Linked DNA regions of Schizosaccharomyces pombe. The protein of the gene in region 1 binds, or shares a complex with, the protein of each later gene. Each region holds a gene or a part of one and is shown on either strand. Other genes may lie near its edges. The genes, in order: crb3 and ipi1.

Region 1 (15,688 bases):
CCAGCAAGGACCATGCAGAAAAAAGCCCTCTAATAAACGCTCATCCTCTTCTGGGGTAAATTGCTTTCTCTCCTTTCTAGTTGATTTAGATAAACCTACCGTATGAGGGATTTTTTGAGGCCGTCCCATATGCGTTTTCGCATTGGGATAAAACTTTTTGTAATCTTCTGGTAAAATTGTCCGAAATCTTGCATATACCCATTAGCAATTGATTTAGGCAATGAAAAAAATTTGATCATGCATACCTGTCTTTTAAATCATTGGGAGAACGATTCGTAAAATGAAAACGTTCATCTAATAGTATTTTTTTCCAATTACCAACACCATGCTAGAGACGGTTAGTTTTCGAAAAAAAAATCATTTTTATATATTCAATTACTAATAAAAAGACAATGTCAGTATTGAATTAACATACAATTTGACATCCCCGTAGTAAATCGTTAGTTTCTTTCTCAGTCCATTTTACTCGAGGCTTTCTCACTTTCGTAGGCTTTCTCTCGAATCCTGGAACATCTTGAGCTACCTCCCTTTTAGAGGGATTTTCAGCTGCCAAAATGGACCCATTCAACAAGTCGACAGAATGCTCATCCATAAGATCTGATGAAAACCCTGGAGGTTTCATAGACCTCATGGTCAACTTGATTACAAAAGAGAAGTTACGATATAATTTTTTATGGGGTTTTTGGTTATGTACAAGAAACCTTCAACAATTCCCTAGTGGTGACTCTAATGTACAATTAGATGTTTCAACGCCTATATATATATGCAAATGCCAAGTCAGGAAATCAATAACAAGAAGTTCGTGGCCCCCACATTGGCCACCATAATGTTGAGGTGAGTAAACAAACCAACAATAGGTTAGCTAAAAGACAGTTGATACATCTTTATTTTTTATAAACATAAAAATCTTAAAAAAATACAGGTTATACTGAATAGACATACTCTGAATTGAACTAGCTTAACATTTAATTTTCAAATTCCAGAATGGTAAGATGTTTAAATAACTGACCAGCTTGTACATATAAGCAAAGTAGTAACTAAATGTAGTTAGTATATCAGTTTGGCCTAACGCTAATTCTTAATGCCGTAAGTTTGAAAAATATTAGCTATCTGTTTGTAACTAAGATTCATTTGATGCTTACTGAATAATTCGAATAAATCATGTGTACTTAGCATATGCCTTATTTCAACATTTTACCGTGATGTGGGATCGTGCTGATTTCTCATAGTTTATACACTAGGCAGGAACACCACCACTTCTTAATTCCTGCATCCACACTTTATCCACTTAATTATTGCCAAATTACCTAAATGAAATGATAATAAATGATTTACATTAATAATACTCATCATGGAATCATCACTTGACAGACTCAACTTTGATGAGTTTGTTGCTAAACTGTTAATTCACGAATCTAAAAAAAAGAACAAGTCGTTTGTCGACCATGGCTATATTGAAAAGGAAAAAACAAAACTTCGCCCTAATAAAGTTTTTTTGAATAATATGGTGAGAAATGTTCAATCCCATAATCGTGGAATAAATAATCGGAGACGTGACCAAAAGCGTAAGCAACTCATAAGCATTAAACAAGATAACGATTTAAATGTCTCCTCAGAAAGGTTGTCTAGGAGAATCGATGTTCCTCGGCCCACTAGTAAGAAAAAAAGACTTTATAAAGAAACGCCGGATTTAGATGAACCGGGGTCTCGTGAAAAGCGTGTTAGCCAGAAAGGGCAATTAAAAATTGAGAAAGTTTAATCTTAAATTTTTAATAATGTCTCCCAGAAAATAATAACTATATTTCTTCATTTCTGATTAATCTCTTTGTGTGGTTTCATTTGGGGATTTTATATATCACCACTTGAGCTTATCATTATACATTATACATTTTTATCCAAAAACGAATATCATTTAAAAATATCACGTTCAAATCCTTCAATTCCTATGCCTTTTGATTGAACCGTTTAGTTATTTTTAACAAACTTTAAACGGATGATCCTCATATTGACACCGAAATTTGGCTTAATCTATATTTATACATGCATTAAAATATTGTTACAAATGTTTAAGAATTAAATCAATTCTTCTGTTAGCAATAAAGTAACCTTTTCTTGGTTAATTGAAAAGCATTGCATGAAATCGTGTAGCGAAAATGTAAACATTAAACATATTTACACCACTAAAGTCAGAAATTTTCCAACAGTATAGTCGAAATCAATATACGTTTGATTGGGTACAAATAAAACTAATATAGTTTCCAAACAGCCCATTATATCAATTTGGAAACGTAAATAGCTGACTTAGATAATTTGTCTACAATTATGCTTGCTCTAGAAAATAGAGTAAACAGTCATTTTAACGAAATGCGGTTGAATTCGGTTAATTTAGCAATGTAGTCCAACACGACTTTTCTTGCAAATTTCGCTTTGTTGCTAACATTTCAGTTCAGCGATTTGCGTTTATTCAACACGCATTTCAAGGTTTATGGAGCTGCTTCTTTCTGGCTGTGAAGCTATTGAGGGTGAACCAAGTAATGTTCTATGCCACAATCTACATACCGGTACCCTGGTGAGCACATTCCGTCAAAGCTCACCTGCTAAAAACGCGACATGTACTACTTTGAATCATTTGCTATCTGCTCAACATACCCGTCCACAGCTGAATATTCACAATTTTGGAAAGGTAGGTTCTCTCTGCACTGCATTAGTTGTACGCTTACTTCGTTTATAACAGCAGTTTTACAGCTAATTTCAAGCTAAAGTAGCTAAACACATTTTAAATGAGTAAAACTAATACAAGTGTAGGAAATTTTGGATCAATCAATCATTTTACCTGAAATACTTATTTGTGTGCAATCGAGTCCTTGTGGTTCTTGGCTGGCAGCAGGCACAGAAAAAGGAAATTTGTACATATGGTCATTAAAATCCGGTGCTCTTATTTATTTCTTCAGAGCACACTACCAACCTTTGACCATTTTGAAATTTTCCAATGATGGTATGGTTTTATTCACTGCTTCCAACGATGGTGATGTATTCGCTTGGTTGATAAGCACTTTGGTAGACCAAAACTCTACTTTTGAAACAAGTAATAGTTCAGTTAAAGCGATTTCTCATTTCTCTGGTCATAAGCGTTCTATCGTGTCTATGGAAATTGGCCCTGGTCCCATCGTTAGTGGTCGACTTTACACGGCTTCGGAAGACAACACAATAAGGATTTGGGATGTTTCTACAGGAAACCTTTTGACAACGATTGCTCTTCCCTCAACTCCCAGTTGCATGACCGTGGATCCTTCCGAACGTGTTGTCTACGTTGGTAACGAAAAGGGAATAATATGGATTCCATTATACACAGGATCATCCACTTTTTCTAACAACGTTAAAGAGAAAAAAAGAGTTACGTCTGTTGATAATACTACTATTCCAAACGCCATCGGAGGTATGGGTCGAGTTGTAGATTATAACGACAGTAGAGAATCAAGTATTATATCGTGTCAATCCCCAATAACCACGTTGACTGTTTCCTTTGATGCTTCTCTACTCATTAGTGGTGATAAGGATGGTAATGTTTTGGTTTGGGATAGTGTTTCTCGACAAGTTTTGCGCCGCCTCGTTCAGTATTATTCGCCGGTCTCTTTTCTTCAATGCAAGGTCGACAAGATATCATTTTATTCAAACTCTTCACTTTCTTTTCCAGTTTTAAAGCGCATGATTACAAATGAGTACTTAAATTCAGATGTTCGAATTTGCATTCAAGATGATGGGGTAGAGCAGCTGATGCAACCGGAAAATATTCTCAAAATCAGCTCTGATATTGTCGTATGTCCACTTCTTAAAGATTTTGAACTAACATAATTTTTAGACACAAGGCTCAGAGTCCAGTTGGCGTGCCAAAGCTGAAACCAGTGAAATGCAGCTCAAGGAAGCAAAAAGATTATTTTATGAATTAAAGCAAATTCATCAAGCGTTATGGGAAAAATACCTGCAAAAGTAACTTTTTTTGTTAGGTTAAAAATTTGAATAAAATTATAAGGGATTGGAATAATTACACTTTTGTAGCAACGGGGTTCTAATTGTTGTAGCCCTTTTGTTATAATCTCATTGGAAAATTTTATTAAATATGTTGAATTAATTTTTTATCGTTAACTATTTTGTTCTCTGTCTTCAGCTTTTACTTGTATTAGTGTCGAGAGCAATCATCTCAAGCAAAACATCGCCAATGTAGTCATAGAATTCATCGATATATTTTCCTAACTTGTTAAAATTTTGTTCTAAGTCAAGGTTTCCATACCTGCTGAAAAGTTAGGTATGCCGCTTTCGGTCATTATGCTATTCATTAAATGTCGACAAGGCTCATGTGAAGGGAGATAATTTCGTGCATGCTGAAAGTCTTAGTTATTATTTATTTCCATTTGAAAAGATTATTTTCTCACTTCTATCAGGTAGCTAACATAGTCGGGGTCATGAAGCTCTTCATTAATGCTCATATTCATAATTAAAAGTATAGCTCCCGCTTTGCCAGAAAATTTCTTCCAATTCAAGTCCAAGTAAGAATTCAGCAAATACGATCCATATTCAGAACCCACAAAGTGTATTTTAGTGCTCACTGAATTGGACATTACATAGTTTAACCCTATTGACACATAGCTCTCTGGAGTCTCGACGTCTATTCTTTGTTAAAAATTTCATTGGATATTAGGAATCAATCTTACCTTTTATGATAGATTTTTTAGTGATTTGAAGTCCCTGAGAGGTGAAATAACGGGTTGTCTAAATTTTGGTAAACATTATTGAATAAATTTGCACATACCCTAGGGAAATTAATGCTTTGGTCCCATAATAGCGCAGAGGGAGAAAATATTACAACTGAAAGTTTCTTTTCTGTGCATTTGGCTATTACATCTAGTACAGTTGCACGTCTCACATCGCCTTCGCGCAAGTTTCTATTTGACCAGATTAAGGGGTGCGACATTGACTGTATAATTATAACTATTCCATTTTCATTAGTTTGCCAATTTCGTGTTGCATATATCCAACTATGTGGTTCTGACGGTGAAGATTCCAATGGTATAGATATTCGTGTTAGAAGGGAATTTTGTAAAGTCCAACTGTAAACGTGATCTAATTTCAATTGCAAGTTAACTCCTGAATTAAATGATTACCCTACCAAGTACAGCAAAATAGAATTTTTCGTTGTACTCTTTATCTTTGGTAACTTGAAATTCATATAGCTCATTTGGCGCGTTCAACTTCCTCAAGTAAAAATCGTTGGTAATTTGGAGATTCATGTCTTCAAGACAATTCCCAAAGTTGACGTCCCTTTGGAGTACACGGGATTTCTTTTTCCTAAACATATGTAAGGCCTACTTACCAATAATAAATTACGATAAGTCGGTTAGTAGTAGGTGACATTACAAAATAATTGAATGGTGACTCAATTTTTGTTGTTAAAAAATATATATATGAATTTGTAGATCAATACTACATAGTTTATTCTATATATTTAATAAAAAAAAGGAGGAAAGCATTGTAAGTTCATATGGTTTTAGGTCTTCAAATTTCAACGTATAAACCACTTCAATTTTTTGATAATTAAATCATCTTATTTCTAATATATCTATTTGTATAGGTGTAAACACCGAGAAGTTTCTTCATAGTGTATCCCTAACCTTCTTCGTCACGATAATAATTTAACCCATTTACTAAGAATGTATGCTGAAAACCTTCTCACAATGACCAACTAAAACAAAGAGAAACTCTTGAATTGTCTACTTAAAAATGCCGTATTTTTTCATATGGTGCACTTCGATAACAAAAAAGCAGTTTACAACATTGCACAAAAGGATTGTTTCACTGATCAGCCGTCTCCTTCTTTTTAAGCTCCGCCATATATTGTGCGAATTTACTTTGAGGATGACTGTGTAATCCACATTCTGTTTTCTCTCGACCGCGCCAACGTCCGGCACGTTCATCTTCACCTTCTCTAACTGGTTGAGTAGAGTGCCAGTCACCAACTGATCTGTAACCCTTGTTCAGAAGTTCATTATATGGAACGTTGTTTGTAATAATATAATTATGAACTTCAGTAAAAGACCAGTTAGCCAAGGGGTTGATCTTTAATACTGGTCCATCCAGCTGAACAATGGGCAAAGATCCGCGCTCTCCACCTTGACTACGGCGGCGGCCAGTAAACACAGCAAGTACATTTAAGTCAGAATAAGCACGACTTGCTGGTTCCACTTTGACTAAAAAGTCATACCGAGATTCATCTGTCTCCCAAAGCTTCTCACCAAACTTCTGAGCAAATTCCTTTTCGTTGGCTGCTTCAGCACAACGATAGACGTGAACAGGCACGTTAGGATACTTAGTTTTGACTTTTTCAAGAAGATCCAGTGTTTCTGGGAAATGATGAAGTGTGTTGATAAAAATCAGAGGAACATTCATATCCATTTTCGATAACATGTCCATAATAACAAGCCCGGACAGTCCTAACGCAGATGTTTGAAACAAAGAAGGAAGTGTCCAACGGCACCATTTTAAGATATCTTGAGGACTAAGCTCCGATAACTGCTTGTTGATGTATTCGAGATGTTCTGGGTGAAACAAGGTTTTCGCTTGCAATTTATTAGCAGGCGTATCGATTGAGCTCATATTGAGTACAATAAATTAGAAAAACCAAAATTTGGGACGAAATCAATTATGTCGGCGAGGAACCAATGGTTTAAACCGAAGATAAAAAGTCGAAAACTTTTCAAAAAAACCAAAAAAAAAATTTGAGTCGTGTACGCAGAAAAATTTTACTTACACTTACTTTTATAGTTTTATAGAAGCTATTGGTGTGCTCTGTAAGACTTTTAGAGAATAGTCAGACAGGTTTGGAAAATAATTATTACGGAAGATCTGCATCGATGCTTACAAAGGAAGAGGTAACAAGACGATACCTATTTTAGTTGGTAATAGTAAATTGTAGAAAAAAAGAATAAGATCATTAGCATTTAAGTATAGTTAGTGAATTGTATACTAGAATAAATGAATATTATTAAATGTATCAAATACGAGATGAAAGAGAGAGATTTTGCGCATTTTAATGTTACTACACCGTTTTTTTATTTTTGGTTTTAAATTTATAACTCTAATGAACTAAAAATTTCTCTTTAATTATTTCAATAACGTTAGTCAAAGGTTGATGCACAAATCTTTTATAACGTTTTGTATATTATAGTTAATATTAAAGGTGTGTAATAAGGAGACGAAAAAAATTTTTTATGGTATAAACCTTCGTAAATCCAATATGCAAAAAAAGGGCACTTTGTTTTAAGCAATTAATTTACAACTCCAAGAACCAGAATAAATATCCGACAAAAAGGGAATGATAAGAAAAAGTCTTAGCCTAATAAACCCACCAAACTCATAAACAAATACTAAAAGACAATGTATAAGATACATAAAAATGAAGGACCAGTGAACATTCCAATCCAGAAAAACACATTACCAAGGATATCGCGTTTTTTGAAAGCAAACATTTGTTGGAGGTCATAAAGAGGAATTTGTAATAATTGAAATGTTAATATGTAACACCGGAATTTACCAGTTGCGAGCAGCATCACAAATTCGTGTACAAGAGCGGAAATTAAAAAAGTGAGTAGAACAGCGTGAGATTTTTTTAATTTGAAACCGGAAATTGATGAATGGTAAACATGTCTCATGAGAAAAACGTGGACAGGCTTATTCCATTCGCGCGAAAATTCATCCCATGTAACTGTATTCCACCAAGCACCATAAAATCCACGGTCGGCAAATTTAGTGATTTCAGCAAATGCATTAAGAATGCAATCAAAAATCAGGTAAAACATGATAAGGTAAAGTATGATAGCGGGAAACATAATTTTGTTCATTAACAAGGGAGCAATGCGTAGCTTCCCTATGAAGTCAAGATCTTTGACAGCCACAGCACTTGGAACGAAATACCAATCTACAAGAGCCAAGGTGAGAGCTAGTAAACCGAATGTGGAGCCTGCTTTAAATGCCATATAATGCCAACGGAAATGGGCAACTCTAGGAAACTCCATACTATAGACAAGGGATGGAACTAATAAATAATCAACGTAATTAAAGAAATTGATGTTATCAGGATAAACAACATTGCCCACTTCGCTACGCATCTGGCGTGACAAATATTTTGCTGTTAAAGCGACAATTTCTTCTGCCTGCAATGTAGATATCGTTTCAGCAGGCTTATTGGGAAAAGTCAGTTCAAACGTGTATTTCTCATCTTTCTCGGTGGAATTCAGGCATTCACGAACAAACTTTAAAAGTTTTTCGTATTCATTATGCAATATACGAATCTCACTGATATAGCCCATATGGTGAGAATAAGAAAATTGTTTCATAATTAGAACGGCACAATGCAGCGTGAAGAAAACACATTGAACAATTGGAAAATCTCGATGCTTAACCCAATAGACAGCTAACACCATATAAAAGCCCTGCCACAAAGTTTGGATTGTGTAACCCAAATTAGCCCATCTAATCATGTTCTTCTCAATACACACTTGTAAACCATAACTAAAAAAGCTGAGGCAAATCATAAGGAAATCTGAGCTAAACAACACGAAAAACTGGCGAAAGACCTGTCTAGCTAGTGGTAAACCAAGCAAAGTATCGCGTTGCCAATAACTTCTTGCATATAACTGTAGTACCCATGCAGCCATTGAAAGCCAAAAAAGCACATAAAACCCTCTAAACTCACTTTTTGCGAAATAATTAGGATCGGTTACACGATCAAAAATCGATTTACGAGGCTTAAACTTATAATCATGGTAAACTTTTCCTGCAATTAATAATTGTTTATGACGATCCAGAGGAAATTCAACAACGTTTGCGTTATTTTTATCACCCTTGGATTTGACAACGAGTCGGCATTCGGGAAGAGCCTTCAATAGACTCATACTGGGATGAACATTTGGTTTGTTAATCGTTGTGCTTATATCGCTAAGCGGAGATGGAGTAATCAATATCCTAGGAGTATCTGTCATACTTCAATCGGTCAAGCTTGCAATGAGAAGAAACAAATAGTATTCAAACCAACTAGCAAATGGTGATAAGGAGGTAAGAAAATAAATATTAATGTAGATCTATGAACGTTGATTCTTTATTATTGTTCTGAATATTTTACTCTCTTCGTAAACAACTCTGTTTGAAAATGTTTGTTGAAAAGTCTGAGTTCTGTTTAAATTATGATTCGATCATCCCGTTGGAGGATCAGTACCACTAGTGAGTGCACGTCACCTTCATCTCATTACACCCAAGTTACATGTTCTTTGCTAACTTTAGAAGCAGACGAAGTAAACAAAGCTCTGACTAGTAAAAACAGTTGCAATCCAAAGAAATTGAGGTGCTATTAGAAATAACTTTGAAAAACTTCTCTATTTAAAAGATATTTTTTCCTCATCAATTACTCGGGATTTTCTCACATTTAGTGGACCGGAATATAACCTTTGAGTAGAATGTTGATTTGCTGCTATTGAATTTTACCTAAGAGTGTTTTACCTAAATACACTTAATTCTTTTTCTTATTTTCAATTAATTATTAGCCAAACAATCAGTTGTTGTTTGTCTTGATTAGTAGCTGCAAATTTTATTTGGGAACTATTAACTGGAAACATAATTTCTTTGTGCTCTTTCGAATAGACCGGTTTTCCTCTAGGATCGGCCATTTTGTTTACAGTATGCCGGTTAAATGCCAATAAAAATGTGTTTTCCAAAAGCCTATAATATTTAAGTATCACGTTTACTACTCTTCACCTTGTATAATAATGCACAAAGCATGAGTAAATTGAACTAGTGAACAATTATGGGTTATTTTACTAAAGTTGAATTCTACATTTCAACTAACAAGCAATTGACTTTTCTTTTAACGATTAGCATAAGCTTTTATACATTGCAGCATTATATTGTTTTTGCAACTACTTTGAGTGCAACGTAGCGTCTATGCTAAAACTCCACTTTGTGTCTCTCCATAAAATAATGGTCATAAACTAGCATATTTCCGCTAATCAGACATACTATATTGAAGCATCACAAAGGAAATCACCTCAAAATTAGAATACTTAGGGTGATCGCTAAAACACTATTAAGTATTCATGGCTACAACAGTGTAAAAAATTAGTTAGCAATGAAAAACGGAGTATAGCGGGAAAAAAGCAAAAAAAATAAAATAAATAAATTAAAATTGTTCATTGAATAGTATTTTTATTCTAAAATATCAGCACAAAAAAATTAAGGAAACTGAATAATCAAACAAAGAACTATTCTTAAAGTATGTTTTACCTACTACTCTACCGAGTCATAACTTACTGTTAAATAGTAAATGCCCTAATAGACCAAGAATCCTAATTGCAATCATTCCAAAAGGATCTGATTGAAATATAACTATTCTGCCTCCATATAACCCTTGACTTTTAACAAAATTTACATTAGTAAAAATTTTAAACGATAAAATAAAGCTGGAAACTGGGTAAACAGTAGCTTGACTGGTTTGTTACCATACCGTTTTGATAACGATAAATAAGACATAGAAATTACGATACTACTTTCTTTTTTGTTTATCCATCCTTGCTGAAACAATCTCAATCACATTATATCCAGATATGCAAGTTTTTTAAAACAATCCAACCATCTACTGCCAATATTCCATATGAAAATAGAAATAAGACGATCCAGTCGTCTATTTATGCGATATCCAAAGGATGCAACTTTCCATTGAATGATTTTTTACATTTCAAGTAAATAAAGGCAAAAACATTTGGCAACCGCTATCTTTGTATTGGACTAATTTGGGAATTTACCTGACAACGGTATCCCTTTATTTTGACTATTTGGTCTATCATTTGTTTACTTTCTGCGTCATTATATGTGGATACCATTGGAATTGTAGGTTCGTTGCGCGTTCTTAATATTGTGTGGCTGTGCAACAATGTTTAGCAACCTCTGTTTACACTTTTATCCTTAACCATTCACAGTTTTATAACTTTTGTGAACTAAGTATTTATTAAAGGTATCGAACTTTTAGTTCGACTTTACCTATTATTTACCTCATCTTCCCTGATTTTTTTATACACTCTACTTTTTTTAAAAGAAAAACTACAAAAAAAATTTTGGCATAGTAAAGTAGGTGTTAGATACACTTGGTGATTCAAAACCTTCAAGTCATTCTTTCTTTATCCTAATTGGACTTCCATTATCGCTTTGGGATATTGACTCTCTTTTTTTCCATTTTAATTGCATTTCCCTTTCATTTCTTAATCTTCAAGTATACATAAGTGATTAATTGATTTCACTTAATAAACATTCATATTTAGCCTATTACTGCAAATTTTTTCTGCTCTCTTTTCGGTTTTCTCATTTCCCCCAAATCCCCGAGCAATATTTATTTTAGGCCGTCTTTCTTTTTTTATAAGAATATCTTAACTTTTCAGCTTTCTTTTCTATTTTTTCATTCATCTACTTGCATAAATTATTTTGCCCTTGTGCATTTGAATTTCTTCTTTCGAACAAATACAACTATTAGCAACTTTTCGTGTTCAACATGATTCGCAATACTTTAGCGTTTCTAGCCATTCTGTTTCTTCTGATACCAACGGCATTGTTAATCATTGGTAGTGTGTCGGTGCCTTCTACCCGTATGACTCTGGCTAAAGTCGAAGGTACAGAGTTTGGTATATTCGGCACTTGCACTGGTAATGGAACTGATTGTACCGAGACTTCTTTTGGTTACAATGCAAGCTCTTCTCTAATTGATGATTTTTACTATAAAGGTGATAAGCGCCTAGTTCTTTCCAAAGTCTTAATCACTCATATAATCAGCGCCTTTTTGTCATTCCTTAGTGCGATATTTGTATTTTTTTCCATCTTTTTGGTTAATCAAGCTGTCAACATCATCAATATCATAGTCGTTTTCATTACTACATTACTTACCTGTCTTGCTTTTGCTATTGAGCTGGTTCTCTTCCTTCCTCATAATACTTGGCAGTCATATGTCACCGCCGGAGCTATTGGTTCAGACTTGATCGCTATTTTAGCGCTATGCCTGAGAAGTGTTTCAATTTCTCGTATTGGACAGAAGTCTGCACGTCTGGAACATGTTGATACGATGAACTCATCGTACTCGAGCTACAAAACTGATGTTAAATATCCTTTGGCGCTGGATGACAAGCTCAGTAGTGTGCCCACACTTCCCAAATTTCATGACGCTCTTACATCTACTTCGGAGTTTGGCCCTCCTTCAGATAGCGGTGACACGGTTGGTACTACTCAATATCCAGGTGATATTAAATACGCCACGGGATACGAAAGTACTGTGGCTTCTCCAGTACCATCGCGTGTTGCAAAACTTTCTTCCCGCGATACACCTTCTATAATAGCAGACTATGACGAGTTCCGTAAATCGGAGTCTTCGCCTTCTCGTTCCTCTGTGCTTAGTACTTCTAAACCTGAAGTACATGAAACCGAAGGTTATTGTCCCCACAAGACCGGAAATCGACCTGGCTTTCCTTCCCTTAATATACCTCGTACACGTCCTACCACAGCTGGTATTGCTAACACGCAATTTGACTTGGAACCTTATCGTAATCGTCAAGCTGGCTCAATTAGTAGCGAGGGTACAGATTCTCGATTCTTTGATGTAGAAAATCAAGTTTCTGTTGCTCAAACTCCCAGTGTAAAGCCTGAAATGTTCCCTAAGACTGCTCGCCCTTTTGCTGCCATTCATGCTAACGCTTCATCTACTCAACTTCGTAATACTGAAAATATCACACATCCCGGTATTCCAAATCATTTTGCTAAAACAACTAGTAGTGTTTTTGATGAGCCTCCCGCTACTCGAATGCCTCAGACACGCTCTCCTGTGAATGATCACTCTAGCTTCCCATCGGATTTGCCCATTAAAGGTGAAATGTCTACAAACATGACCGGTGCTCCTAGAGTTGGTTCTAGAAACAATTCTTCAAATGATTTGCATGCACAGGCTGGAATGCTTAAAAACGTTGGAAATGGCCCTAGAAATGCTCCTAGAAACAATTCATCGAATAATTTACATGCTCAAGGTGGAATGCCAATGAATATGCGTGGTCCTAGAGGTGCTCCCAGAAATAATTCTTCGGGCGATTTACATATTCAATCTGGAATGCCGATGAATGGACGAAATGGTCCTAGGGACACATCTCGTAATAATTCCTCTTCAGATTTATATGCACAGAGCGGGATGCACCCAAATATGAATAACGGTCACAGGGGTGCACCTAGAAATAATTCCTCAAATGATTTGCATGCTCATGGTGGTATGCCAGTCAATATGCGTGGTCCTAGGAACACTTCAAGAAACAATTCTTCAAGTGAATTTAATGCGCAAATTCCAATGAATTTACGTAATGGTCCTAGAAACGCATCTAGGAGTAATTCTTCAACTGATTTGTTCGGTCAAAGTGGCATTCCTGGAAATTCCCGTGGTATGCCAACTTCTCCTAACTCCAGAAATAATTCAGCCTTGGATCTCAGTATGCACGGCATTCCACTAGCAAACAACTCTCGCCAATTCAAGAGACCAAGTTATGGAAATATGTCAAGACCTTCTTTTGAGTTAAATGGTAGTCGTAATCCCTCACATGGCAGCCTGAATACCGCCCATGCCGGCATGGGTTATGGTCCTCGCAGTATGATGAGAGACCCTCAAAATTTATCTAATGTTCCCCCTGTTTCAAATACGTTAGATCAGCTTTCAGGCAACGCTGATTTCGAGCTTCCGGTTCGTGGTAACCGTAATAATAGACGGGGACCTGGTGGAAATCGGATGATCCGTTAATGATTATTCAATTGGACATTTTGTCTTCATTCTGCTAGCTTATGTATAATTTGAGAATTGATAGTTTCGGTAAACTGTCGATTTATTCCCTTAGATTGATTCTTTACTCATCTTCTTTCATTTCATTCATTTTACTTTTATTACAATTTTACTATCTCTTTGGCGAACCTATTAATTAAAGGACTGGTTCCTTTTATAAATTTGCATGCACAGTTTCAATTATTCATTTTACTTATCTTTCCATCTCATTAATATTCTTTCAGAATAAGCATGAGAACAATGACGATATATTGGTATTACATTAAAAATAGTTGTAGGAATTGTGTAGTGCTATCGCAAACAGGTACTTTTTTATGGTTTGTAGAGTATGTGTTTTAAAAGATTTTTTGTTGCATTTATATTTACGGGCCAAAGAATACAGTAATGCAAAAATGTATCTATCATCAGTGTATCTTATGAGTTTGGAAAACAACCAATTGATTAAAAAGTATAATTAAAGATGCTAAGTTGATCGTGATCGTTGACAATAAGGCAAACATAAAGAATGAGGACTGGAGGAATTTCTAATTTACACACTAAGGAAGGATAAATACTTTTTCAAACATTATCAGTTGTTAGCTGATCTTTCTTTTTAGAAGCGATCTTTTGTTTGCCAGACGATTTCTTCTCTTTTGTTTTTTTATCAGAGGCATTTTCGGAAGCTTGAGAAGCAGTGCTATTAGAAACGGGGGTTTTTTTTGGCTTCTTTTTAGATTTTTTGCGATCAGAAACTTTATCTTCTTTGATTACAGCAGCTGCAGATTCAGCAGGTGCCTTTGAAGACTTTTTTGATTCTTGTGAGCTTTTACCAGCTTTTGAATTGTTAGATGCCGGCTTTTCAGCCAAGCGTAGCTTTTTCTTAGCCTTCACAGATTTCTTAGATGGTTTTGATTTTCCTTTTTCTACAACGGCATTTTTTTTCTCAGCAAGATATTGTAGTAATGGAGTAGAGGTTTGTAATTTTTCAATAACATCGTCATTGGACGCAGTTTGCGAATAGCTCTCCCGCTGAACCTTGAATTCTTGAAACTTCGGATCTTGTTCAAGTGAGCCTTCTAAACTATCTGCCTTTACTTTAGAAGGAGGAATCTTTTGATATGGAGCAATTGTGACAATTGCCCTATAAGTGTTGTCTAATGCATGTTTGAGTTAAAAAAGAAAAATTTGAATGGTAACAACTTACTCTTCTTATCTATGAAGGTATGTCCTTGGTATACGCGAAAAAATTCCTGAACAGCCGTGGCGGATTGGAACTTCAAATACGCAAAGGATAGCAATTCAGATCGAGTACTACAAAGGCACGATATTAGTAACTATTTGCAAGAAAGGTTAAAGAAATAAATAAATACCCAACAGTTGCTTTCCCTTTGGAGAATCGGTGCCATTCCACGTGTGGTAAAAATGAGTTGATGGATTGGAGAAACACTTGTTCAGGCAAAGTTGGTGGTAAATTAAAAACGAGGACTTTGCATGGTAATCGTTTTTTTGAGATATCAGGAGCCATCTACATACATGCAATGAAATGCTTAAGGTAGTTCCCCTATTATAGAAAATTGGTGATTGATGATAACCAAAGCTTTTTGTAGGGAGGGTACTTTTGCGCTACTTATTTTAAACAACCTTTCCTTCGTTTACCAGACCAATACAGCAATCTGCAATTTACTGATAAGGTTGCAATCATTTAGCCTCGTTTAAATAACTTAAAGAGATGAAGTAGTGCCTTTTTCTAAATGACGTTACGATGTTCTACCAGTTTTCTTATCCAAAATGCGAGACCAATTTGTTCATCGTTAC
Region 2 (17,289 bases), on another chromosome or scaffold:
GGCGGAATGAGCAACTAAAATTAGAGCAAGAGTCAAAACTAAAGGAGGCTTTGAGTGCTGCATCTTCGAGTAATGCACGGAAGGCTATATTGGAGAAAAGAATGACAGGAAGAGAATTGTTTGAAAATAATTTGGTCAAGTTGGACGATGTTGAGGGAGAGGCTTAAAGTTGGGTTTAGTTCATCCCGTTACTTTATTGTTGTTTCATCCAAGGTAGGCAGGAACCTTTAAATAAATATAAATAAAATTGGGAAATATAGAAGTTTACTTGAAATCAGGGTTGGGTATTAAATATCTTTTTTGTATACTGCCTGATTTTGTTTTCCATGGCTTTCTTACAATGATTTTCAATCGATGCCGTCTTGCATTCTGCATAACGGTATTAACAATTCATATGTTTTAATATTTATATTATTTTCGTTGTGTAAAGCTAAAAAGCAAGGCTAATGGCAAATATGCCTATATTGTCCTTACACTGTACTGAATCGGTAACAATTGACAAACACGCTTTTATAACATTTTATCAGTGCTTAATTAAATTCAATACATCAATAATTTATTGTTATTTAATTCACCGCTATTTTTGAATAAAGCCAAACTAATTCAAAGAGTATTAATACGTTACTTGTTTCAACAAAGTTTCTTTGCCTCTTACATACAAAAAAATGCTCCACGCCTGCCTACTCGTCTGAGCTTCTCAAAGCTAACCCAGACGGTGAGGTATGGGTAGTACGCTTAAGCGCCATCCATTTTCAGGGCTAGTTCATTCGGCAGTTGAGTTGTTACACACTCCTTAGCGGGTATCTACTTTTAAAACAAACTGCGTATTCGCTAACTAACATTTGCACAACTTAACTTCAAGACTAAAAAAAACTACAAGCTACAGCAACAACATTAAAATGTAAAGAGCACTTAAAAATTGATCAGTCAATTTAATTTCAATCAGTAAGACTAGAAATAAAATATCAAGTGAAATTTTTGTTTATAGTTGCAAAAGCAAGATACAAAAAAAAAGAACAAGAAAAATGAAAAAATAAAAAATTCCAATAAACCCACACATCAACCCTTTATGCCATATCTAATCAAAAGTATATCCCAAATGTGTATTCAAATGTATAGGTTTTAGCTACAAAAGTAATCTTTCAGTACGAAGCGTAGTCTTCAAAACGATTGAAACTTGCAAGCTGTAATAAAAACATAAACAAAAGCTAGAGTAGAAAATAAAAGAGTTTATAAAAACCAAGGTGAAAAAAAAATCAATAGACTCTTAGTAATGTCTTTCAACAAGAGACCGAAAATTTATTCTCTATTTCTTCCTCCTTCTTGACAATAACCGAGTTGTCCAACGAATCAAAAGAGATTTTTGCATGCTCCAACGAAACATCAGCATCGGTATTCGGCATTTTCGAAACAGAAACAGAGTTGGTAAGCTGAGGTGATTCAAGACCCTTTGAAGAGAGTATCTCGGCCATCGTGACGGATTTTGAGAGTACGGGGAATTCTGATTTTACCTCGTCAGACATTCCATCTTCTCCACCAGGGCCCTTACCACGACGACGTCGGGTAATTTTGTTCTTCTTCAAACCAATAGGACGATTGTGGCCATGAAGACGGGCATACAAACCACAAGCGTTACAAACAGTCTGTCCGTGACGATCTTTGCGCCACAACGAAGTTTTCGTAGAAGAGCAATTGGCACACACCAAATTCTCAAGTGCCTTAGATGAGCCTTTGTTTCTAGGAGACAATGGTCTCATAACACCATACTGTTTGTTGTAAAGACCACAAGCATTGCACAAGAAGTTAAGCTTATCTGATGTACGTCTCCATAAAGGCGTTTCAGTGACTCCACAGTTAAAACAGACATGTTCGCGATGTTTCTTTTGTTTCATTACACGTGCTGCCTTACTAGCCTTTTCAGTTTTAACGGCAGCAAGGGGTGTAGAGCCTTTCATTCCCTCTGCTAACGTCGACTTCAGACTGAGAGAAGAAGAGTTAGAGGACAGATTAGGAGTGGAAAATTGGGGCAACTTAAGTGAAGCATCCATGAGTAATGAACGAGCCTTTTCATCTGTTTCAAAGCTTTCAAACGAAAAGAATGGATCAACGGTAGCGATCGAATCGGACAAGCTAGGAACTGAGCCCAAGAACTCAGATTGGGATAGCAAAGCAGAAGACGAACCAGTCAAGGATGAGCTCGATTCGGAGAGCTTCGAGGGAGACGTGGAATCGTTCAGCTCCCTTTTAACAGGCGACTGAGGTGACATGAAGCCCAGATTGCTTAGCTTGCATCCATAGTTGGTGGGATAAGATATGGAAGCAAACGCACGCTGACAATCACCATCAGAGGCAGGGAAAAGAGGGGCTTGACTTTCATCGAAACCAAACTCGGAATCAAGAGCACCAGGGAATGGTGTATCGATTAATGCCGAGCTTGGCGTTGGGATGCAGGGAGTCTGTACATAAGAGAAAGGGGGTGTGGGTTCTGACGTCTTACTGGAAGACAAGGCAGCAATGTCAATATGAGAGTTCGACAGTATGGTAGACTTTAGCAATCCGGAATCACCGAGTTGCGCAGACTCTAAATCAGAACATTGCCTTTGATTGTCGAAATCCATGCTGTCAAGAAGAGACCAACGAGCAGAGGGGTTGGTTTGCAATTTCTGATTATTCTCCGTAGAGTTAAAAGCCAAGGGATAATCAGAAAGCAGTTGCAACATTGAAACCGAATCAAAATCAACATCTCCCTTGCCTGGCGCATTGGCGAAAAGGGCATCCTTATGAAGATCAATGGGAAGATTTGCGATATCGGATAATGCTGTATCAGCGGGGGAAGTGAAAGTAGGGTCAAATTCGGAAAATTGACCGTCAAACGACCCTTCAGTCATAGCCGAAGTAGGGAAAGAGGGCTGACCAAAGGGGAAACAAAATTCAGTAGTATCGTTGTAATTCATGATAACAAAATAATTGGATTTGCTATAAACACACAGACACAAAGATAATTATAAAAAAAAATAGAAAAACAAGGGAGAGAAACGAAATTATAATACCGAATTCAATCACACGCGAGTAATATGTTAGTCACACACAGACAAAAAGTAATAAATGTTTAATGTTGACTTTGTAAAAAAATAAGAAGCATAATGCACTTTGGGGATAGTTAAAAAAAACAATAGACCCGACCAAACGATGTAGAGATTCTAAAGACTCTAAATGTTACAACCAGAGGAAAAGAAAGATATTTGACCGAAATGAGTAAATAATAAAGGATTATTCCAACGAAATTAACTTGCGAGTTACATCATATTGGAGAATTATAAAAAAGAGATAAAAGGAAGACGATTAAAATAAGAGAGAAAATTATTTAATCAACCACAATAGTAGAAAAGATTAACCGAAAAATACTAAAAAGATATTCGATAAACAAAGAGATAGGAGAAAAATTTTGGTAGAGGGATAGAAAACCTAAAGCAAAATTAAGAAGATAAAAAAAATGAGGTGAAAAACAACCTACGATAAATTCTCAATGAGACAACATTTTGAATGATTTAGGAGAAAAAGACTTAACGACGACACGAGGACGAACGAAGCATGCTTTGTAAACGTAATATTGGGGGTGGAAACAAAAGATCCGAAACAACAAAAACAACCAGTATATTCGATTTCAACAAGGAAGTAAAATCAACTTAAAAAAACGAGGACTTTATAGATAATTTAACACATCTTGGGAAAAATTAAATCTGAAAAGTAACTAGAAAACTGAGGTATGTAAAAAAAAATATGTCAACACTAAATGGAGTAGAAGACAAAAAAATAGAGATTTAAAAGCTTAAAATAAATGTAATAGACGATTTACGAGATCAGGATGTTAACGCTGTACTAGTAAAATTGTGTGGTAGTTGTGGTGTTGTTGGTTGTTAGTAAGTTTGGTGTAGTGGTAAAATAAAAAAGGAAAAGAAAAAAACCGGCGGCGCAACGAGCTCTTAAATAGGAAGAACGTGACAAGAAAGCCACTACGTAGTCAACATTCATGCAGCTATTATGGACAGGTACGGCAACTTTTGATTGGTAGAGAGAGGAGGCATAATAGTAGGGACAGCGCCTTATCAGAGGGCTTATCGAACGATCGGGGTGACATCGGCCCCAAAGCTTATCGCATCTAAGTCGCTTTGTAAGTGGTGGGAAAAACATTAGATAGCCAATCAAAGATTGCAAAGACTTGAAAGCAACACCCAGGCCAGCACGCAATGAACCATCGTTCAAGTGCATTAAAGTATATAGCGAAAGAGAATGGAATGCAGTAAAATCAACCGGCTGTGGAAGTGAGTAGCGCCGATATCGCTATATAGGAAGTGTGGGGGTGTATATATAAAATGGGGGCGAAAGGGTTACTATAGAGACAAATAGACACGAGGTAACTAAGTAAGTAGGTAGGAGAAAAGCGAATTAACAATTTGAACTTGATAATAAAATAGTTGTGTATTTCTCAGTCAATTTAGAATCAATTGAGGAGAAAACTACATGATCATAGAAGGGAAAGAAGGAACACAGCGAAAGAAAGAAGCGTTAAACAATAGGAATGGTTCTTTTTGAACCGATTGTTTATAGAAATAATAAAATGAATGTTATGATGTGAATGTATGAGTGGAATGTGGATGTGAATATGAATATGAATATGAATATAAAAGAAGATGTAATTAAAAAGTAGGATTTGGAATTTTTCACAACAAAAACTCGATTAACTGTAAATGTCGAGTCCTATTGTTGGTTAAAAAGAAAATTACTTAAAAGTCCTTTTGTAATAAATTCTACTCTTAAAAATTAAAACTGTTTATGCCTTATTATTACACATGTGTCCGACATGCCTTGCCTGTCCAAAATGCCTTGTCTACTATACTTTTCTATACTCAGTCTAACGCATTTACTTTCTCTGCCTGCAACCTTTCTGACCCGCTATAACGATAGTGACTGTATTCGTTTAAGCTTAGTTTCCGTGTTCCATCATCAATTGTTAAGCTTATTTCCGCAAATACACTCGCTCTCGCTATTTAAAGAATTTTCGGATTTTTTCGGTCTGCGCAGTAGCGACTATGAAGGCAGCAGAAGTACATTCCTACCGGAGAATGAGTTCCGTTGGTATTACACACGGAAGGCAAGTGACAAGGCTAGTGAAGGATGATCGATTGATCCTATTTCTCGGGTTGTAAAGGCCCCAAAAATAGAGTGTTACAAGAAAGTAATGGGCCTTGCTTTGTGCGTATTTTTGTTATTCAACATGAGTTTGCTATAGCATGAATTTTCTCTGAAATGCGCATACTAAATTGCAAAACTTGTTTGATAAAAGTGCAATACACTTATCATAACGATGTTGATGAGTAAATGAATGTTGCGCATCACTTGACAGTAGCAAAGTGCAATTATTGGTTTGCGCAACGTTGTTTTGTTCATTTCGCCAACTTTGCTTATTCACACCGGTTCTATGTTCAGGCATTTTGTTGGTCGTTGGTTACTAGAGGAAAAACTGTTGTTGTTGATACAAACAGAACCCAATTGTCCTTCAACCCAATCGTTTCTCAATGTTTACATGGTCAAGGTTTGTAGTGGAATAAATGGAATGGGCTGGGATGAAAGGAAATTAGCACGTGGAAGTGTAAACACATGATTTTTCAGCAATCCCGCTAATGTGATAGGCTTGGGTGAGAAGATGAAAGAGAAATAAAAGAAATAATCGTTCATCAATTCGTTCAACAGTTATAAAACAACCCGACCAGATAAAGTATTTGAAAGATTGGAGTCATTCAAGAAAGCGTAAGGATTCGAGATTGGAATCGTTGGAGAGATAGAAAACAAAAAAAAGTTTTGCTAAGCAACCATTGTATAAAATTTGAAAAAGAATTTTCCTTTGCTTTTTGTTTTTTTCACTTAGTACAAGTAAACAATCTCTTCCATTGAACCAAATCGTCCATCCTTTGTCAGCACGACCCTTTGCATCCCTCTCTATCCCTATAACGATAATCTTTCACTACGCTGTCCTTGTCTAGGATTTCTGTTGCTGCTAATCCTCGCTAAACATGCAATAGTATTAAAAGTTGTTGAATGACATCGTTATTTTACACAACGAATCATAGCGAGATCATCGCTGCTCATTGTCGTAAGCAGGCCAGGTGTGTTCATATTATAATTGTATCGGGTAAATGCAGCCCATGTAAACAAAAGAAATACGCTTAAAAGGGATTAGCTAGAAGAGAAAAAACCACCAGAACTAAAAACCAATAAAATAAAATAAAAAATCATTGTTTTTCTATTTCTTTCAGTTTCACCTTCTCGTTACTTCCTATCGCCTACTATCCATCTACCCACTGCCCACCTACCAATCTTCGGTCGGCCTCGTCTTCACCCACTTGTTTTTGTTTCATTCCCCCTGCATACACCCCATTTTTTTTATTCAATCTTTCTTTTCCTTTTCTTTTCTTATTTTTGGCTGTTTATTGCTGCTGTTTCCATTCCATCATCTGCTGGCTCTTTCTTTGTTTACATGTGCTATACTGATTGCTTCTTTGTCTTGCCTGATCTCCAGTACCACATCATTTCTTTCTTTTTACATCTCTTTTCTTCCTAAACCCATTTGTATGCAGCTCATGAAGTATTTCCTTTTTCCTTCATTATTCATTCATTACATGAAATAAAGTGCTCGTTTACCTGCTTTTCAATTCATTTGCTGATTTGATTTGCGCTTCTTTTTTATTTTTCACTATGACCCCACCGTCCTCGTCTTCTCATTTCCCTTCCCCTTCTAGCGCCAACAATGATTTTCATTCCTTAAGCCTTGAAGCGCATGGCTCCTTGTCCGACAAATTCATTTCTCAGTTTCGCTTAAACTACACAATTATACCCATTGCGCAAAAATCTAATATCTCTTTACCCTTCCTAACTTTGTCTCCATGCTCCTTCACCATCTGTTCTCTGCGAGCCCGTTTACATTCTCTGCATGGCCCATCCACAGTTTTTTTAAAGCGTGAAACTTCCCAAATTAGCGCTCGCGTAAATGACGAAAACGGTTTTACTGCATCTCCCAGTTTTTTTAGTGTTGATTGCTTCGACGAATTATTTCCTACTCTGTCGACTACCGATGAGCAACCAAAGGAACCATCTATTATTTCCATTTCCAGTAGTTCTTCTGACCCTAGTTCCTCCCCTCCTCCTTCTTCCTCCCTTTTAAAAACTCCCGACAATGATTTTTGTGCTCGGCCAGAAACGTTTGTAAAATCAGATACCGCCGATATAAAGCTACAAATACATCAGAATAATCTCGTTTTAACATTCCTGGATACAACGACTGTCTCGAAAGTAAACATCGTGCTAGAAATTCACATCCCAGTGCTTCGTGACTTTGTGACGTTTGAACAGTATATTCCTTTAATGTTTTTACCGTCACCATTTGAGACGATTCTTTCTTTTGATAATCTAAAATCGGACAGTCCCTCTTCTGACTTACATTTAGGTTGGGATCATACTGTTTCCAAAGAGTCAATGTCACAATCTATTGCTGAAGTCCTAAATCCTTACAACAAAGGTGTTTCTCGCTCTTTGAATGACGCTACTAACATGGAGACTTATCACTGGTCCCCTTTTCCTCCTCAATTTTCAACCTTTAATGATAATGCTCTTCGCCTTCGCATATACTACAAACCGAAATCTTGGCTTCCCAAAAATTCTAGTTGCTCGCTATCTGTAGACGTGAAAGCTACTTTGCTTGAGACTACCCCCCCATCATGCGAAGTATCCTATAATCTACTACTAACGTGTCGCTCCTCTAACCGTTTTCGCCTTTTTCCAGCTTCTACTCCTAACAGTAATGGTTTATGTCGAAACGACTCAAAGTGTCGGTTTTTAATGATACTTCCGGAAACCATTATTAAATCTCCTTCTTCTTTTATTGGTGATTCATATAATATTGCAAACATTGATCCACCAAGTATGTAACTTTTTTCCTCCTTTTCGCTATCAAACTACTAACACTTTTCCCGATAGGCTCTATGAACGTTCAATCGTCAGAATTTCGTGTAGGTGAAGTGCAGTCTTTTACTACAAACACATCATCCTTCGCATTCACATTCAAGGAAATTGTACAGTTGGGCTCCAAAGCTTCTGTACCCATGATTTTGTTCCCCGCCCCTTCTAACTATAAGCTAACGATAGAAAAACCTCCTTTCCCATGCGATTTAACAATACCTCATACTGCTATAAATGACTCTTGGCTTCCTATGAAGTTGAAAGAGACGAATGCAATTTCTTACTACAGAAAAACATGTTCCTCATGCAAGTATCCTTTCCAATTCTTTATTAATAAACTACCATTCTACCAAAGTCCCTCACTACCCTTGAGTGCTACTTATGTTTGGATTGCTTCTGCTCTTTTGTCAGTTCAGCCTGGGAACGGCTCCTTTAACATAATGCTTAGCCTGAAATTTGTTTCCTCAATGAAACCGGGAACTGAGCTGTTAACTATTAAACAACCAAAGTCTTCACTTTTAAACTGGGGGCTAGTTAATGGCTATCCTAAAACTGAAGGAAGAATTGTTCTTCTTCCTCGCAACGACATTGTACTAATTCAAGCTGATCAACCTACTTCGGTTTTTGATTTATGTTGGACTATTAAACCAACCTATGAAAAAAGCTCAAACTTTTCTTGCTTACAACTGCCAATTCCAGTTTTAAATACACCCATACTAACGCCAGTGACCATTAATATACAATCTACCACTTATTATCTAATTGGATATGCCAATCAAAATTCTAAAAAAACTCTAGATCAACCCACTAGCTTATTAGTACTCGGCTGCAAAGCTAAAAACGTTTCTGAACTAATACTATCTTATCTACCGGAAAAACCTATACCTGATGGTGCACCTATTGTAACTAATGTCGTTGAAACTAATAAAACCAATGAAGCACCTTCGAGTTTTCGAAAGTGTTTGCAGCAATTCCTAGTGTTTCTGACTTTTACGGGGATGACACTTTTTATACTTTATCAACTAACATTTCCTTATGGTGTCGCTAAAGACAACAGTTCATTTATTGATACTCCACTGCCTCATAGTTGTGAAATGGAAAAGAGTTTAAATGTATTACAGCATAAAGTTTTGCAACTGCAGGCAGTGAATATGAAATTACATGATTACTATGAAAAAGAACCAACTGAAATTTACAAAACCGTATCGGTTACTAGCACTCAAATAATGCCAGCTGTTACAAAAATGTCATCATTCGAACTTGAAAGGGAGCAATTTCATAAGGCATTTGGATTTTTACGGCTAAATAGGAAGAAAGATGACAATGCCAACTAAACATTAATTTTTTCAATCATCAGCACACTTTTTTAATCGTACATACAAAATGCAAATCTTTTGATTAAATTGAAATTTTTTATTAATGAATGTGTTGTTGCAAAACGACTTGGATTAACAAATCGAAAATTTTCTCATTTCATTACATTAGGCACTACTCACATTTTCTACATTTTGGGTACTCCACCAAACGTAACGTTGTCTGAAAGTACGAAGTTTAAATTGTACAATTAATTCCACAATATATTAAATATGGGTAAATCAAAGAAAGCAAAAGCTAAAAGAGCTGATTTTAATGTAAAATTGTTGTCGGAAATAGCTGTATTAACTGATTTTTTAGAAACAAAAACTCAAGGTGGGAAAATCAAAAAATGCACCAAATAATTTTACCGATACCTCATTCAGAACAAAAAGTATGAACAAAAGGAATTTTTATTCAAATAACTAACCTAAACATCTAGCGCTCGTACTTCCAACACAGGCAGCTTTAGAAAAGGAGGATTTCAATACAACAGCTAAGGATCAGGCGTACTTTGCACATCTTTTAGGAATGTTAAAGCATCATAATGCCAATCAACGGCAGGGTAAGAGAAATTTTCTATTAACTTATGCATCTTTTGCTAACATGTTAAAGAGACGTTGGAAAAGCTTACACAATATGTTTTATCTCATACAAGCATTTTGACGACGTCGACAGCGCTGCTGTTAAAGTTAACATCGCCTTTGATACTTGATGAATCCTCATCGGTACGAGATTGTCTATATCGATTTCTTGAAAAATTTATATATATAATGGGGCCAGAATTGCTGGAACCGAACATTGGAATGATATTTCTCTACACACACTCAGGGATGACTCATATTACTCCTTCAATACGGAATGACTCTACAAAGTTTCTCTCCTTACTCATCAATGCTTGTAAAGATCGGCTAAGTTCCTCTGCAATTTCGTTACAGTGGAAGAAAACATTAGAGTGCTTTACAAACCTTCTCGGGTGGAACTCAGAGAGTGCCTCTGTGAAGAGAACAACTAGCTTTTCAAAGAAGTCTTCCGCTAACATGATAAGACACCTAACTGTATGTAACGATTTTTTACAATTGGGTTTGAACCCTAAGTTACAAGCAAAAAATCAACAATCATCCGTTCATTTAAAGTATCCCTATTTGCAACAATGCATTGTAATACATCCGAAATACGAGGCGTTTAGATCTCCTTGTTCATTTGCATATTTGTCGCTATTCAATCCAAATAAACACGATCTTGTCGATAACCCTACTTTCCGTTGGCAGACAATATATCCTTTAATACCTGGAATTATAGAATTCATTAGAAACTCGTGGTCTGACGCTTGCCCAGTTGTTAAAGATGGATCCAACTCTCCGTCTGCTTCAAAAGTTTGTAGAACGGTTTTATCGATGCTTGGATTGTTTACTGAACAAGTTTTCAGTGTAGCTGATGAACCCAACAATCATAGGAAGAAAATATCTCAAGTTTTAAGAAAAATAAATAGGGACATAGAGTTGATAAATATCAATTATGGAACAGATTCCGAATGGAGAGGTGTATTGAAAGGATACGATAAATTGCGCGAGCGTGCAGTGGAATTGGATGCATTGGAGAACCCGGGTAAATGAAACTGACTCTATATGTTTCGTTTTAAATGGGTCCTCGCATTGTTTTAATTTAAGAATTTGGTTTGAGGGGTTATTTATGTTAAGTGGTATAAACAAAATTGATATTAACGCATAAATAAAATTAATTAAATAGTAGGGTGTATCCCCCCTAATTGATTCACCATAATAATTGCTGCAGTATACAAGTCTGAAACATTCTCAGTAATAGCCCCACCAATGAATTGTTTATTTGCAAGTTTCCACGGAGCCGTTTCTCCTGCGCGTATACTGTTATTATATTTGAACTGAGACTGCATGTACACACTTTGTATACTTAGACTGAAACAGGATTCTATAGGTTTGCTTTCCTTGGATCTGTCGAGACAAACGAAGGCTTCTTTGGAATTAATAGATGACGGGCTAATGTCATAGCTCTTAACTTTTGAACATTTTAATATAAATTCTAGAGAGTGAGGGAGTAAATTTTTGTTAAAAGGTACAGAGTTTTCATTAATTCTTGTGACCGAATGAATTATTACTCTGTCTTCCATATTTCCAAAGACTAACAGTAAATCCTTATTTACGTTTCTAGTCAACTGATTAGTCGAAGCTTTCAGAAATTGACATACCTAAATCTAATACTTTTGGAGAACTCTGTAAGTATCGCATCATTTAAAGGGACTTTCGTTTCGATACGTAGACGGGAATCCCATAAGCTATAAGTCATGATTAGTTGTTTTTTTCCTTAAAAACATTCATAACATACGCTAAAGGAAAATTGATAGTGCAAGTAGAAGATTGCTTAGAATCTTTATAAAACGCAAACTGATCTAACTTTGAAGAACAAATCATCGAAAAAAATACAGTGGAATCCTCTGTCTTGTTTCTCTTATCATCTGTAAATAATAAACTTCCCTTGAAAACAAAGTAATTCTTTGAATCTAATACTTCATGCTCTATTAAAGGATAAGTATACTCAGTACGTCCAAACAAAATTTTCACAGGAGTATTCAATAATGAATCGATATTCGAAACTGATTTGGTAATGCTTTATAAAAAGGTTAATATAACATATGAAGACTCAACCTACCAGTCTGCAAAATATGATCGGGGAAGATTCAAATCCTTATATATATTCATAAAACCATGTGAACAAGCCGACACATCTGATGAGATATTTGGATATAGTATGACGCCAAACCTGTTGGATTAATATTTATTCAAAAATAAACGCATACTCTAAATTCAATTCAATTTCACCTGAAAAGGATTGAAGTACATGCAAGCTAAACAAAGTGTTAGACTTATGTTTACATATTTAGTCAATACCACAGACCTTCTAGATAACCATCTGTGCAATGATTTCAAATTCATGTTGTCAATCTCTTCGTGATTAATGTATTTTTCAGAGCATACTATTTTTGGTTGAAATAAGTATAAGCTTCCCACACCGTAGCTTGATACCGGATTGGAAGACATTAGAATTGTATAATAGTTGTCACCAAGGTCGTCCATTTTCTCATCTTGTAAACGTAAAAACTTCATGTCAATTGAAGGAGTTAAGCTGCCAGATTTTGGAGTGGAACAATCTGATCCTTTGTCAAGCTCTAAACATTCTACACTTAATAGGTTTTTAGACTTTGAATCGTCGAAATCCAATTTTGCGCAATTTTGTCGCAAAGATTTATGAACATCATTAGCGTTAACTTCATTAAATTCATTTGAATTGACCAATTGAAAAGTCTGAGACTGTTTAGTTATTGCTTCGTCAACAGTATTACCATCCGAAGAAACAGAATATCTAGTAACCAGCTCTTCTTCAGGTTCCAATGGTAAAGTATTGCTCGTAGGTCGAGGAGGAAGCTGAAATTTGAACCGAGGAGGCTGCTTGCTATTAGACTTATTAATTGAATGCTCAATTGCAGTTGTTTTATCTTGGAAATGGGTCAAAGATGAAGTTCCTAAAATTTGCTTATCAATCGTGGGTAATTTATTCAACTTGTTCATAATCATTTCTTCAAAATTTGACGGATTATTCTGGTTAACAACAGGATCAACTGCTCTCCTTCCTTGATGAATTGAATTATCAGATAATTCGGTTGACGAAGAATGAAAATTTGACGGCTTTTGTAAGACTGGGATCGACAAATTGGATGAAGTTTTATTTAACTCGTAAAATCTGTGCGCTGGTTTCGGAGAAGAGAAGTTTAAAGAAACACCTGCAAATATTTTACATCCTATCAGCTTTATATCATCAGAAAATATTTTAAAATTATCATTACAGGGAGGGGTTTTGGAAGGATTTTTAGCAAAAACTGGTACCAACTCATAAGAATCACCATCATGTTTATTTCTCAATAATCTCATAGTATAAAAAGATCCAAGGATATTGAAAACGCTTTTGAAAATAGATGTCGTATGCATAGCTGTGTATAAAATCTCGTTTTCAAATTTTAATTTTAGAAATTTCAGTTGGCAGGGTGCAATCTTTCCTGCATAAACAAGAGTTTCTTCAGGATATTCATAGACTTTCTGGGACACTAAATTCTCTATATGCTTCATTTTCTCCAACATAGCATTAATGTCCTGATCGTTATTGGCTAATACAACTATTTTCTAGTCAAAAGTTAGGATGGTAGAAGTATCTTCACAAATACATACATTATCTTTTAAAGAAGCCTTGTATTTTGTGTTGGTAGCATGCGCAAACTCCTTGAGCAAATCATTATTGTCGGGAAGGTAAAATAATCGCTTGAAACTCCCGTTGTAAACAGTAGGCGAATAAATGACCTGTTTAAAATTTCCTTCCCATTCAAAAGGAGTAATGATTTTAGGTTTTATCAAGCAAGGAATATAAAAATCGGAGGATGTCGGTTTCTTGCCCACTTTAGACTTAACAATGTCCTCATTTTCTTTTATTTTCACATCTTCAATACCGTATCCTAAGTCTAAGTACCTTTGAAAATTCAATAAAGTAGTAAAATCATAATGCAATTGCCCGAATGGATGAATATCTAGGCGTGGTTTCTTGTAAACAGTTGATTCGCGCTTCAACTTTTGAACTATTTCCTCAAAACTAGCATGTTAATTAATATTTAAAATAATATTTAGGATGAACGCATGGAACTTACAGACTAAACGCTTCTCTTTTGTGTTCCTCGTACACTATGACTTTGAATTGCTGAATTATTAGCGTCAATAGCTAGGATATATAAAATACCTGAGATGAAGAAGAGTAAGAAATTTTTACTTTTCCATTATATTCAGAACTATATCATCAGTAATAGTCCATTTGCGCAAAACCATACTTTATACAATTTGTGAAGGAGGATATAAATTCAGCATTTAAAAGCAACGCTGTATCGATATAAAATTTAAAAAATCCTAATATTAGCAAAAGAATGATACACATTGACTTACCAGATTGATTGTTTGCAGATACTTTACCCATCACTCATTTCATCGAGCTTACAGATGGTACATGCTATATGCAGCTTCAGAATATAAGTGAAGTAATATGAATTCATTAGGAATATAAAGCTTTATGAATTATCAGAAGAAAAGAAAAATAATTAAATCTATAGTTCCTTGTATGTAGGTATTATAATTGTGATAAAATTAATGTTAACGTACTTACAATCGAGAGCTGAGTATTTGAATTATAAGCTGTAATGATTCATTAAAGGTTAGAAACACTGTAAACTAAAAAATAAAACTAAGACAATTGTTAAGAAACGTATTTTGTTTAGCGGACACTCATTTGTAAATAAAAATGTGTTGTCTTATCAACTAACTTAATGCCTCCCAAAGCTAGGAAATCATTAACCAATAAATATCTGAACGTAAAGTAGAAGCTTCAAAGTTATTTCTATAGCCCCAACATTTCTAGTAGAGTCAATAAAATCCTTAAACCAGGAAATAAGGCACCCTCTCCTCCAATTAAGTATTAGTCATTATTTCAAAAGCAGATGATGAGATGCAATAGGAGTTCATGAACATCATTCCCTCTCAATTTCTACGAAAAGTTTTTTAATCATCAGAAATAGTTTTTTCGAATAATTGGCTTCTGATTTCGTCCTCCAATGACGCTTCCTGATTGTCATTGTTTAAAGAAGGAAATGAAACCCCTCTGAGAAGAGAATTAATTTTAGCTACCATGGTGTTCGTACTGTTGAGGGTTGATATCAATTCAGGGTTTTTCTTCCACATATTCGTATGTATTGAAGAAGGCCCATCTTCAAAAGGTTCCAACATTTTTTCGATTTGCTCAAGTTCAGAGCGCTCCTGTTCTAATTCTGACAACGTTGTTAATAGACCAAGTAACTCTCCCGTAAGACGATTGAACTTCTCTTGCTCCTCATCCTTTTCGACAGGTCGGGATTCTTTTTGAAAAGGCCATGGATGGGGAAGTGATTTTACACTGTCTAAATTGCTTAAATCAATTTCTCCATAAAATAATGGATTTAAAAAGGTAATGTCCTCAATAGCGCTATTTTGTTCATATAACTTTCGTATTTGAGCGGCAACATGCTGAGTTGCTTGATGTGAATAATTTAGCTTTGCATGCTTTTGGATACGAAGTTGCAATCCTGTTTTGGTTAATAATAATATTTTGAACTTTTTATTTGTAGGAGAAATCCAGACAAAAGCATGGAACACGTACGTTGGAATACAGTTTCAACGACTGATTCTGAAAGCTGACCGGATTTTAAAGGAAGTTTCCAATCCTTTGGAGGGCGCATAGGTCGGTTCAACAGCCGTATCTGTCGTTCCATGAATGATTTTTTATGTTCGTAAATATCCATTTAGGAAGTAAATTTGATTTAAATCAAGATTATCAGGATTAAAATAAAAACAGTTGAATACTGATCGAAAAACAAGTCAATATGGTATTGAAATTAACAAAGCAAGTTCACGCAAAGGCAACAAACTAACAGCGACTTTTGAGCATATAGACGTCTTCAGTGTAAGCACTTCCAAAATTAATTACTTAACAAAAAAAGACCAAATCAATCAGACCTTGGCTGATGGTTGATTAATGACAAATTTTGAGAAAGTTACAGGAGACTAAAGAAGTCGAAAAGTCGAGCGACTAAATAGAATACTTTGAATGATGTTAAAATGAAGATTTTATGTACATAATCATTAAGCTAGCTCCTTAGAAAGGACTCGTCTAATGCGAGTTAAAAAATTAGTGCATATATCAGTTCTAAGATATAGCGAAGAGAGTAATATTCTATGAAGGATGAACCCTAGAGTATAGTGTATTGTGAAGTTGACCTAGGATATACCATTAATATTGAATAGCATTAAACATATTTATTTATCCTTAAAACTAATAGCTTACAAAAAAATTCAGATTTACAAACAAGCACCCAGAATTGGTACATATACTCTACGGTGGTAAAACGTAAACGAAAGCTTGGTTTTTACAATGTAGTACCATTTAGGTTATTTCGAGCTAGTTGAGAAACAAAAACAAATGATGGTTTCCAAAATATAATGATAAAATATTCTCATAGGTTCACTAGCTAGATGGCAAGCCAAGAGTGGGACAAGTAGCTTTTGTAAAACATCATGAAGCTAGCAATCTAATCGTAGCTGTCAAATTGCAGATTCAAGTGTCAAGTAAATCAATATGTCCGGCTCTGTGTTACACTTCCATGCTCCTTCAACTATACACACTCGTTACTTTACAAATACAAAAATTATCTGTCTGTATTTCTCTTTACATAATTCATGTTTACGAACACGCAGCTCTACAACTGTTACTTTCACTACCAAATTTAGATATCTTGAAAAAACCTAGGTTTTTATGCGAATGTACAACGTTAGTCCAAACAAAGAAATTATTGAATAAGATAGAAGTGAAACCATCCATTGAACCCGCCTTTTTGCATCTCTTTACTTAAGAGGAATGAAACGAGAACTATGAGTGGCACCAATACCGGGACGACCGTGCTTAGTAGGCTTGTAAGTGATAGAGAACTCACCCAAGTAGTGACCAATCATTTCAGGACGAATCTCAACTTGGTTGAAGAGCTTACCGTTGTAAATACCAACGACAGAACCGACCATCTCGGGAAGGATGATCATGTTACGCAAATGGGTCTTAACAGTGGCGGGCTTCTCATTAAGAGGAGCTTCAGTCTTAGCCTTGCGGAGCTTACGGATGAAGCGAGAGGCATTGGGTCCAAGACCACGAAGCATACGACGACGAGCACGGGCATGGAACAAATCAACCAATTGCTCAGCAGAGAGATCCAAAAGCTGCTCAAGCTCAACACCACGGTAAGCAAAAGTACGGAAACTTCTCTTCTTTCTCAGT

What was found.
Region 2: crb3 (region 1) and ipi1 share a complex: the UniProt entries of both Schizosaccharomyces pombe proteins name them as parts of the RIX1 complex.

The regions. Positions count from the first base shown.
Region 1 is NC_003424.3:2,298,689-2,314,376, reverse strand, and holds crb3 (rixosome complex WD repeat subunit Crb3), read left to right. Parts: upstream 1-2,448; 5' UTR 2,449-2,485; coding exon 2,486-2,683; exon of another isoform or gene 2,684-2,805; coding exon 2,806-3,816; exon of another isoform or gene 3,817-3,859; coding exon 3,860-3,991; 3' UTR 3,992-4,106; downstream 4,107-15,688. Other genes in the region: teb1 (Myb family telomere binding protein), read right to left, coding at 1-187, 246-328, 416-631; SPOM_SPAC13G7.09C (uncharacterized protein), read left to right, coding at 1,352-1,759; arb2 (argonaute binding protein 2), read right to left, coding at 4,162-4,247, 4,289-4,379, 4,431-4,663, 4,710-4,767, 4,808-5,118, 5,165-5,351; met16 (phosphoadenosine phosphosulfate reductase), read right to left, coding at 5,848-6,648; acyl-coA-sterol acyltransferase Are1, read right to left, coding at 7,419-9,032; protein Mac1, read left to right, coding at 11,585-13,855; protein upf3, read right to left, coding at 14,453-15,027, 15,078-15,184, 15,244-15,398. UniProt on the Schizosaccharomyces pombe protein: Required for both pre-rRNA processing and heterochromatic gene silencing. Component of the RIX1 complex required for processing of ITS2 sequences from 35S pre-rRNA.
Region 2 is NC_003421.2:798,320-815,608, reverse strand, and holds ipi1 (rRNA processing protein Ipi1), read left to right. Parts: upstream 1-9,523; 5' UTR 9,524-9,599; coding exon 9,600-9,644; intron 9,645-9,687; coding exon 9,688-9,760; intron 9,761-9,776; exon of another isoform or gene 9,777-9,808; coding exon 9,809-9,931; exon of another isoform or gene 9,932-9,981; coding exon 9,982-10,982; 3' UTR 10,983-11,107; downstream 11,108-17,289. Other genes in the region: gir2 (RWD domain-containing protein), read left to right, coding at 1-167; fil1 (zf-GATA type transcription factor), read right to left, coding at 1,281-2,954; protein mug4, read left to right, coding at 6,754-7,975, 8,032-9,347; RNA-silencing factor Ers1, read right to left, coding at 11,108-11,549, 11,591-11,677, 11,728-12,009, 12,052-12,162, 12,200-12,247, 12,298-13,577, 13,623-14,037, 14,093-14,142 and 3 more; protein Fta4, read right to left, coding at 14,991-15,550, 15,625-15,766; rps1501 (40S ribosomal protein uS19), read right to left, coding at 16,866-17,289. UniProt on the Schizosaccharomyces pombe protein: Component of the RIX1 complex required for processing of ITS2 sequences from 35S pre-rRNA.